Linked DNA regions of Drosophila melanogaster. The protein of the gene in region 1 interacts with the protein of each later gene in a pairwise test. Each region holds a gene or a part of one and is shown in the gene's direction. Other genes may lie near its edges.

The links.
Region 2: the proteins of how (region 1) and Fancl interact in a two-hybrid assay, tested with the Drosophila melanogaster proteins (one large-scale study listed by BioGRID).

What each region holds. Positions count from the first base shown.
Region 1 is NT_033777.3:22,040,306-22,045,265, forward strand, and holds the start of how (held out wings), read left to right. Parts: upstream 1-1,885; 5' UTR 1,886-2,050; intron 2,051-2,601; 5' UTR 2,602-2,758; coding exon 2,759-3,074; intron 3,075-4,960. UniProt on the Drosophila melanogaster protein: RNA-binding protein involved in muscle development and dosage compensation. Vital role in steroid regulation of muscle development and to control heart rate.
Region 2 is NT_033777.3:10,050,895-10,054,826, reverse strand, and holds Fancl (fancl), read left to right. Parts: upstream 1-1,957; 5' UTR 1,958-2,020; coding exon 2,021-2,131; intron 2,132-2,188; coding exon 2,189-3,184; intron 3,185-3,241; coding exon 3,242-3,280; 3' UTR 3,281-3,319; downstream 3,320-3,932. Other genes in the region: Npc2e (Niemann-Pick type C-2e), read right to left, coding at 567-898, 957-1,064, 1,363-1,429; ohgt (ohgata), read right to left, coding at 3,506-3,813, 3,885-3,932. UniProt on the Drosophila melanogaster protein: Ubiquitin ligase protein that mediates monoubiquitination of Fancd2. Ubiquitination of Fancd2 is stimulated by ionising radiation.

The sequences.
Region 1 (4,960 bases):
AATTTCTGAACTTTTCAGTTTACACAAAACTTGAACCAATTCAAGCATTTTCTCGCCTAACTTTACAGCTGCTGGAAAACTTTTATTTTGCGGCCATTTCGGTTTTCCAAAACCGAAAGTGCCGCCCAAAACGACCCACTCACAATGTAAAACACCACATTCAAAAGGGCAAATTCCAAAAGCACTAGAGAGATTAACGGCCCACGGAAAACTTGGCACTTCGGACTTGGCCAGATGTCCAATGGGCCGATACTGGGCGACGTGGGTGTGCGGATTGGAAAGGGCTTTGGTCTGTGGCCCAGAGATTTAAATCGGATATCCATCCATAGGCATACAATGTCTCAATCGCCACGCACATTGACACATTTTTCAATGGCACTAAAACTGTATAATGGGGCCGTACAACGCATTTAATGTCGGCCCACACACACAGGCCAATTCCGATCGGTTTGAGCCAAGTGCACACAAATTTGGTGGGACTTGTGGCCGGACTGTGAAACTTGGCCAGGTGAGGTCCGGTGGTGGGAGTCTGCTTTCCAATGGAACGACCAATCCGATGTCCATCCACAACTTTGGCCACAACTTTAAACTTTCACGTCTCATTTTGGTGTATGCTGGTTTCAAAAATCGGATCTTGCCCCATGCCTGCCGTTGGCTAGATGTGCCGCCCCAGAAATTTTGGGTTCCGATGGGGAAGACTGTTGCAATGAAGTGATCCTCATACATATATGTATATCAAAATATTGTTGAAGACACAGGCAACACACAATAAGTTCACCGATCCACTGGCATTAAGTGTTGTAATAGTGGAAGGACCTAAATGTGAACAGAACACGAGTAAAATTTTAGAATAAAAGTAGCTTTGTAGACTTAAAAGATTGTTTTATTTTGATACACTTTATCGATAATTAATTATTTTTAGTACGCAATATCTTAATACTGCGTTGAATTTTTGTGAAATTCGCCAACCACACGGAAGCCAGCGAAAAATGTCTTTCGCGATGGAAAGTAAAAGTTGTCGCCGGCCTAGGGTCGCTTATATGGTGCGTCCATCGAAACGCTCGCGAATGCCAATTTTCCCACATACATTTCGCGTTTTGCAGCAGAGTTAACCAAGTTAACACCAACATTTGGCCAGTACGAGTTCGGGGGCTCATTTGCATGGTGTTTTGGACTTGGGGCCCAGATGCCAGCCCCCGCATATGTCCGGCGAAACAAAATGCCGCTTGGTTCTAATCTGCCAGCAATTTCCGTGCGCAATTAATGCCTCCACAGCGCAGTGTCTTAATTAATTCAAAATCAACGCCAACGCGCCAAATTGTGGCCCACCCAGCTACCAGGTGGCAACGCTGAATGTTGTTAGTCAATTAATGCATTAACTAGCCTCCATTTGGAAGAATATTAATGGCCCACCTTTGTATTTAGTTGCTATTAACTTATTTGGCCATTTATTAACTTTTATACTCGCACTTTTGGCTAAAATATGTGTAATATGTTAACCAGCTGCGCAACTCTGTTTGTGCGGAGTGGCAACGCTGATGGGTGATCTCGCATGCTGGCAGTAGGGTGCGAGAGAGCCAAGTCAGAGAGAAACTGACGTCACAAGATGGGTATTGGCGTATTTTTTATGGAAATGGTTATGCAAATATTGACTAAACGTCACCGAGTAGTTAAAAGCACTGATATATTAGAAATTAGTTAATTTAGATCAAAAATACCCCCAAATATATAACCAAATATTGGCTTTTAAATATTTATTAAAAGCAATCGCACTTTGTGACGTCACTGGGCGAGAGAGCAGAGAAACGAGAGCACATTGAAACCACCACCCCACGATCGAACTGGCATGATCTCACACTTACAACGTTTTGTGCTCTTCGCTTCGCATTCAGTTTCTTTTTCTCTTTCTTTGCGCACGGTTCAGTGGTAGGAAAATTAGGAGGAATCGTTCAGTAAAGTCCCGAGATCCGTTCGCTATTCCCCGACTCGAATAAAATCCATATACACATATATCAAATAAACAAAGGATAGGAGTCCTCAGAGAAGAAAAGTGTGTTTAAAAAAAATACTTTCCAAACAAAACGAAATGAATAAAATCCAAAGCCATCCAGTAGCAACAACAAATACATAATCAGCAACTGTGCATATTTCTGCGAGTTTTCTTGCATTTTTAAATCGGTTAAGTGGCCTTGTGCACTCGGTACATCTCCAGGCAAAGGAATTTATACCTTTGTATCTTCAAAACGTAGAAATTTGAATATAAAATTTATTTAAATACTTTTTTGTTGTACTTGCTGTTGCAGCAGCCAAATGAGCGAGGGTGAGAGAGAGAGGCAGCTATTTTGACATTCTGCTTTCATTCATCTCCGTCGCATATACAGTTTTACTGTTTATTGTCCGTGTGTGAGTGAGCGATCGCCGAGGAATTTTCTGCCTTCGCTTTCGACTTGCTGCGCTCTCTCGCTCTCTCAGTATCTCTCGCCCTGCATTGTTGTTGCTGCCGATCGGAAAAAATACTTTTGGGCGGAGTTGTTTTCATTTCGTTTTCCGTTTTTAATATCGCTCGCGTACGAAACTTAATGAATTTCCCAACTCCCACAGTAACGTGTTAAAAGTAGCAAAAACAAATAAAAAAGAAGTGTGCACCAAGTAAAGAAAGCAGAGACCCAAGGAAAGTTGAAAGTTGAAAACCAGAATCTCGTCGAGAACAAAACAAAAAGTTCCCAAAAACCCACACATCACACACGCACGCAACAAAATGAGTGTCTGTGAGAGCAAAGCCGTTGTGCAACAGCAACTGCAGCAGCACTTGCAGCAACAGGCAGCCGCAGCAGTTGTTGCGGTCGCGCAACAGCAGCAGGCTCAAGCCCAAGCCCAGGCTCAGGCTCAGGCACAGCAGCAGCAACAGGCGCCGCAGGTGGTGGTCCCCATGACCCCGCAGCACTTGACCCCACAGCAGCAGCAGCAGAGCACACAGAGCATCGCCGACTATCTGGCCCAGTTGCTCAAGGACCGCAAGCAACTGGCCGCCTTCCCCAACGTCTTCACCCACGTCGAACGCCTGCTGGACGAAGGTAAGTCGCTAAAACTCAAACCGAGTGAGATCCCTCCAAGTCACAGCATCATCCTAATCCCGGATCCAAGACTCAGCGGAAGGATAACGATCACTAGCTAGCCTTTTCTGAATCAAACGATAAACCCAGTTACTGTTTGTTATTGTGATAATATCCTTTTATTCATCAAACACTTTACAGTACCATTAGGAAATTGTTATATATAATAAATGTGATGAAATGTGGTGAAAGAAGAAATTTGGATATTCTTGTTATAATGTTCAGATATTTAACTCTAGAATGTATTAGAACTTTGTGTTTGTATTCCAAAAATTCATGAAAAGAACATTAAACTATTGTAGTATACAAATCGATGCCATTACAGTTTGGTTTATATCTTTTTTAATTGTTCAAAAAATATTTGCAAAGCACTTTAATTCCGAGAATCTGGCGGGATTTATTGTAAACATGTATTACAGAGACTGTAGGTATTTAGAACACATTTGGGTAAATGGGAGAGTTTAAATGAGTATATATGTTATTTTAAAGTGGTGACTTCATTTTCAATCGTGTGTGCCAGGCGTGTTAATGATTAGGGTGCCTCTAACCAAGTGATCACTGTAGTTCAATCAGTTTTGGGGCATGGATCTCTGGGTGTCTGGTTTGTCTCCTCGGCGTCTCCTTTTCGGCATCTTCTCCATCGCGGGTTCTGAGTTCATTCCACCTTACAAACCGAAACGAGATGTTTGTTATTTTTAGTTACTTCCTTTTTGTGCGCCTCTTCGCGGAGCGCACACTACTTACACCTCTCTCCGGGCTCTCTCCTTTTGTATTCTTGGCTCCACACTTGACTGCCAGTGCAGCCTTTGTTGTTCTCATTATGAATTCTTTGTTGACTCGGCCATTCGTAAACCAAAAAGGAGGGAGGCTTGGATTTTGAGAGACGCAGAAGGAGATGCGAAACCCCAGGGGGGGAACCCCCAACAAAGATAGAAACATTAATGTGGTGTGGTATTATGTGATAAGAGATCATTTTATTCACAAGCATGTATGAATTTATACATATGCTAAAAGTTTTAAAATTTTCGAATCTGGAATATTATTGGATCCATTTAATGATCTGCTTTGCTCTGTGCACTGAACGTGTAGCAAACTTATCTGAAAGAGGAAAAATGTACCTCAACTGCCCACGCTTTGCCTCGAAAACCAAAAAAATCAAAAAAAAAGAAAATATGAATAAATATACGGCAACGAAGCAAAAACTCTTAAAGGCAAGCCAACAAAAGTCAACTTTCGGGGCGGGATAGGGGCGGTATAGGGGCAGGGGCGTGGCACTACCTGGTCGCATCTTGTATCTTGTATCTGGCATATCGGAGCTCTCGTTTCTGTATTTGCCCAACATCTGTTGCCCATATGCAGGCCGGCCAAGAGGGTGTGTGTCGCCTCGTAATGACAAAATTATGTTGCACAGATACACAGATTCAGATACTGGTGCGGTATTTGCGGATTGCAAGGTACCGCTAGATGGCCAGAGTACACTTATTATGTACAGCGTATGTTTGGATTACTTTAATATACGTTTTTTTTTACCATATTGCTTAATCAATTTGTTTATAATTGCTACTACAATTTAAATTACATTTAATTATTGCAATTAAACTTGAAATGTGATAGCAAATGGTCTGTATAATAAGATGCAAGATCTTGATTTCTCTCTTCATTTGGAAAATATCCAAGAAGTCGGTGGTCTTATCTAGACCAATCAGATTATTGATTACCAGGTACCAGGAGGTATCGCACTGTCGGAAAACTCGCCCAAAAGCTTATATTCTTGTTTTGGTTTCGTCTCGGCATAACTGCAAACTAGTTTGCCTGTCTACAAATTGTATTTGCTAAAAGCAAAGCGT
Region 2 (3,932 bases), about 12 Mb from region 1:
TTCACTGAAATTTAATACAATGATTTATGTATATCTTCGAAAGTAATCCCATAAATCATGTTTGCAAATGATAGGCTTCTTTGGAAACACTTCTCATTATGATTTAATCTGGTGGTAATCACTATCACTAGTTAGACATTTTTAAGGCAGATTTTCTCCGAGTGTACTGTTGCACCCAGCAAGACGTTTATCGCCTTATCACACAGGAGAGCCCAACTTTTGACCATATGGTCAATGCGATCTACGGCGGCCAATAAATGATTATCACGACGATTTTATTAGCCAATTGTGCCACTGAATCAGTGGAAATAAATTAATAGACTTTCGGTGCAAAAAGGAACGTCACAAATGACTGTATATAAATAAATACGCTTGAATATCTAATCGGCGGTGCCCAGAAATGTGTTAATCTTCAGCCTGATTGTGCACTGAGTACACTGGAATTCGTGACGTAGCCAAGGTAAACAAATGGTCTTATCTGTGCAAGAGTTTTGTGGTTTATTATTTGGCAAACAAGTGGAAATATTCAGTCGGCCGAAACGGCTGGAGTTGCGTACATCGTCGGCTTAAAGGGGGTTCGTCCAGTCCAACAGATATCCGTCCATCTGTGCTGCAGTGGCTCCCTTCCGGATTTTACAGCTCACGACGAAGCAGGTGATCGGTTCGTTCTGCGCATCGTTCAACGTGACAGTGACATCCGCCGTTATTTCCGGGAACGAAGGCTCCACATAGAAGTTGAACTGATACGTGACATCCTCGTCCTTGTCGATGGGACAGATGGCACCGTACAGGAGATTGCGGCACACATCGGACACTTCGTCGGGTAGGGCATATGGCAGATTCATGCCCAAAACCTTTGCCGTTGTGGTGGCCGTAATGCTCTTGATATTGTTGTTATCTGCAAGACATCGATGATGAGATTCAAGTGGACACGGATATAGATGGCCGAAACTTACTGCCCAGGAAGTGCACCTCCATGACTGCTATGGTTCCTTTGTACACAACGCACGGCGGTTCCTCGCAATCCTTAATATTCACATCCAGTGGAAACGGCTTATTTTTGCCTGAAAGCGGAAATATGTTTTCGAAGAATCAAAAGGTGAGCTCAAAAGAAGGCTATGTTTTTTTTTCTAAGAGATTAGCTGTTTGTTGATAAGCCATATCAACCTGGCCAACAGATACACGTTAGGACTTTAAATTTCTCTCAGAACGTATTTTTGGCAATAGTTTTCGAGACAAAGTCTGCGAAGTGAATCATCGTCATAGAAATCTGTTAGAATCATGAATCCAATCTAACAAACTGGTCGATTTAAAATGATTTGATGTTTTTCCAACAAAATAAAAGAGTTTTTAGCTACTTACACTGCTGGACATTGGTGGCATTGACTGTGGCCAGAATTAGAGCCAAAGTTACAACGATTCGCAGCATTTTTCTGGATGGAATCTTTTTTAATCTTACTTCAGAAGAATACAATATACATTGAGTACGCGCGCACGCAGATGACAATCGTGAGTGGAATCGATGGGGCTGGTGGAGAACCTTAAATAGCCCCGTGTTCGAACGATGACCAACGCCTGTAGAGAGCAGTTTATCAAAATCGGTGGCTATTGCCATTGATACGGGGCCGCCACGCAGGTGTTACAAAAGAAAACCACTGTGGCCTGCAGGTGTTGCGCTCTGACGAAGAGCAAACAATGCCGATTCGAATCAGTAAATAACGTAAATTTGGCTGATAAGTAGGGAGAGGCTGAACTACAATGTTGCCGGCTATACCTAGTAAACAAAACAGCCAGAGGGTGAATATGTAAGCAAGGCGGAATATTGGCTCGAAGGGTTAATAAACATATAATTTAAGGTTTGATCGAGCAATCAAATTTAAAAAAGCGGCCGATTAATTTCCTATCGATCGTGATTGAAGACTTTGTGTCATCGAAGACTGCACATCTCTAACTATGGCCGTTCAAAACATAAAATGTAAACAAAAGTCATTCAAGCACAATCTGACCAAAATCAAATATAATGGAAAGTAACGAAGATGTAGAGCGCCTTCTGTGTCAAAAGTATCCTGGTCTGGCAGCGGAGCTTCAGCCAAGTGGAGCGTGCATCATCAGAGGAGTTTTGGGCAGTGAGGTAAGTTATCCGTATTTCAATTTTTCCCGCCAAACTAATAATGATTGTATAATTAAGGATACATGGCGCCGCCTTAAACTCTATCTGCCACACCACCCAGCTCTTCATGGTTTCCAGCTCTACGTCCAGGAAAGCTTGGAGTACAAGCTGTACACATCGGCTAATCTCAAGTTACAGGACGATTGGCTGCTGGAGGATTTTCTGGACCATTTGCCAAAGATTCTTCCTGCCCAAAAAGCCCCAACAGTGCCAAAGGAACTATGTCGGGAGGGGAACATATATTACGATATCCTGGCCTTGTACAAGTCAAACGAGTACTGCCTGCAAGTGGACGAGGCCTGTTCCATGATTCGTTTCAGCGAATTCACCGACTTCGAGCAGCATTATCTGGAGCTTAAGATCCCGTCTCTTCTCTTGCTTGATCACAGTTTGCCCGACTGCGTATCGCTGGGTGAAATGCTGACCAAGAGTGCTGGAAACCTAGAGGAGGCCCTAAACCTCTTTCGCAAGCTTCTCGAGGATCTGCGTCCCTTCTACGACAACTTCATGGATATCGACGAGCTTTGTCATGTGCTGCAACCATCGCCCATCAGCAGCAAACACAAAACACGACTGTTCCCTCTCAAGGATCGCGTCTACTTGAAGCTGACCATCGCGGATCCCTTTGCCTGCATTGCATCCATGTCGCTAAAGATCATTGGGCCCACGGAAGAGGTGGCCCGCCTGCGCCACGTTCTCAGCGATGGTCTAAGTAACTGGGACTCCGAAATGAACATTCACAAGAACCTACTCCGAATGTTCGACTTGTGCTACTTTCCCATGCCAGACTGGTCGGATGGACCCAAGCTGGATGAAGAGGACAACGAAGAGCTGCGCTGTAACATTTGCTTTGCCTATCGCCTGGATGGTGGCGAGGTGCCCCTCGTCTCCTGCGACAATGCCAAATGTGTGCTAAAGTGCCATGCCGTCTGTTTGGAGGAGTGGTTTAAGACTCTGATGGATGGCAAGACCTTTCTGGAGGTCTCCTTCGGCCAGTGTCCCTTCTGCAAGGCGGTAATATTGCCTATCATTTCATCTATTGCCAATGTACAACTGCTTTATCTTTTTCAGAAGCTGTCCACCTCATTTGCGGCACTTTTAAATGATTGAAATTTGTAACCATAATATTAAAAGCAAATATTTAAGAGTAACTTATTATTCAAATAATCGTAAATATCAATTAGGTTTACATCCACGCCATCAAACGCCGTGTGTTTTTGCTAAAAGTAGTTGTGAAACGAATTAAACAGGTCCCACCTGATGGACCGCATCATTCTCCTGACGACGCCAGCAGCAGAGTTGACATCTGAAAAATCGCTTCACAACGCGCCAGCCTCATTCCATATCGCTTGAGATCATCCGCATCATATTCCGCACCACATAGGTGGTTCCATTGAAGGGCGAGTACTCGCTGGCTTTTCCAATCCGCACGCTGGAGCCGGCCAAACCGAAAAACACCTTGGGTGTTAGGTTGGGATGCACGGCCTTGAACTCCCACCCGACGTGCTGGGCGCAGAACTTGCACAGAATAATGTGCCACTGATAGCCGGGGAACCAGCTAAACTTTGTGGACGGCTCGCCGCTGTAGCCGATGGCATGGGATATCACCCGGTACACGGTGTTTGTCTCGTGGATGTAGCCCTCTGTAAAGTAGTTAGTTTCAGTGAATTCATTGCTTATAGAAGACGGACATTGGACTTCTCCTTATGCTTACCTGGATTGCAATACTGTGTCTGCACACCGTGTTTGGACATGGCAAAGA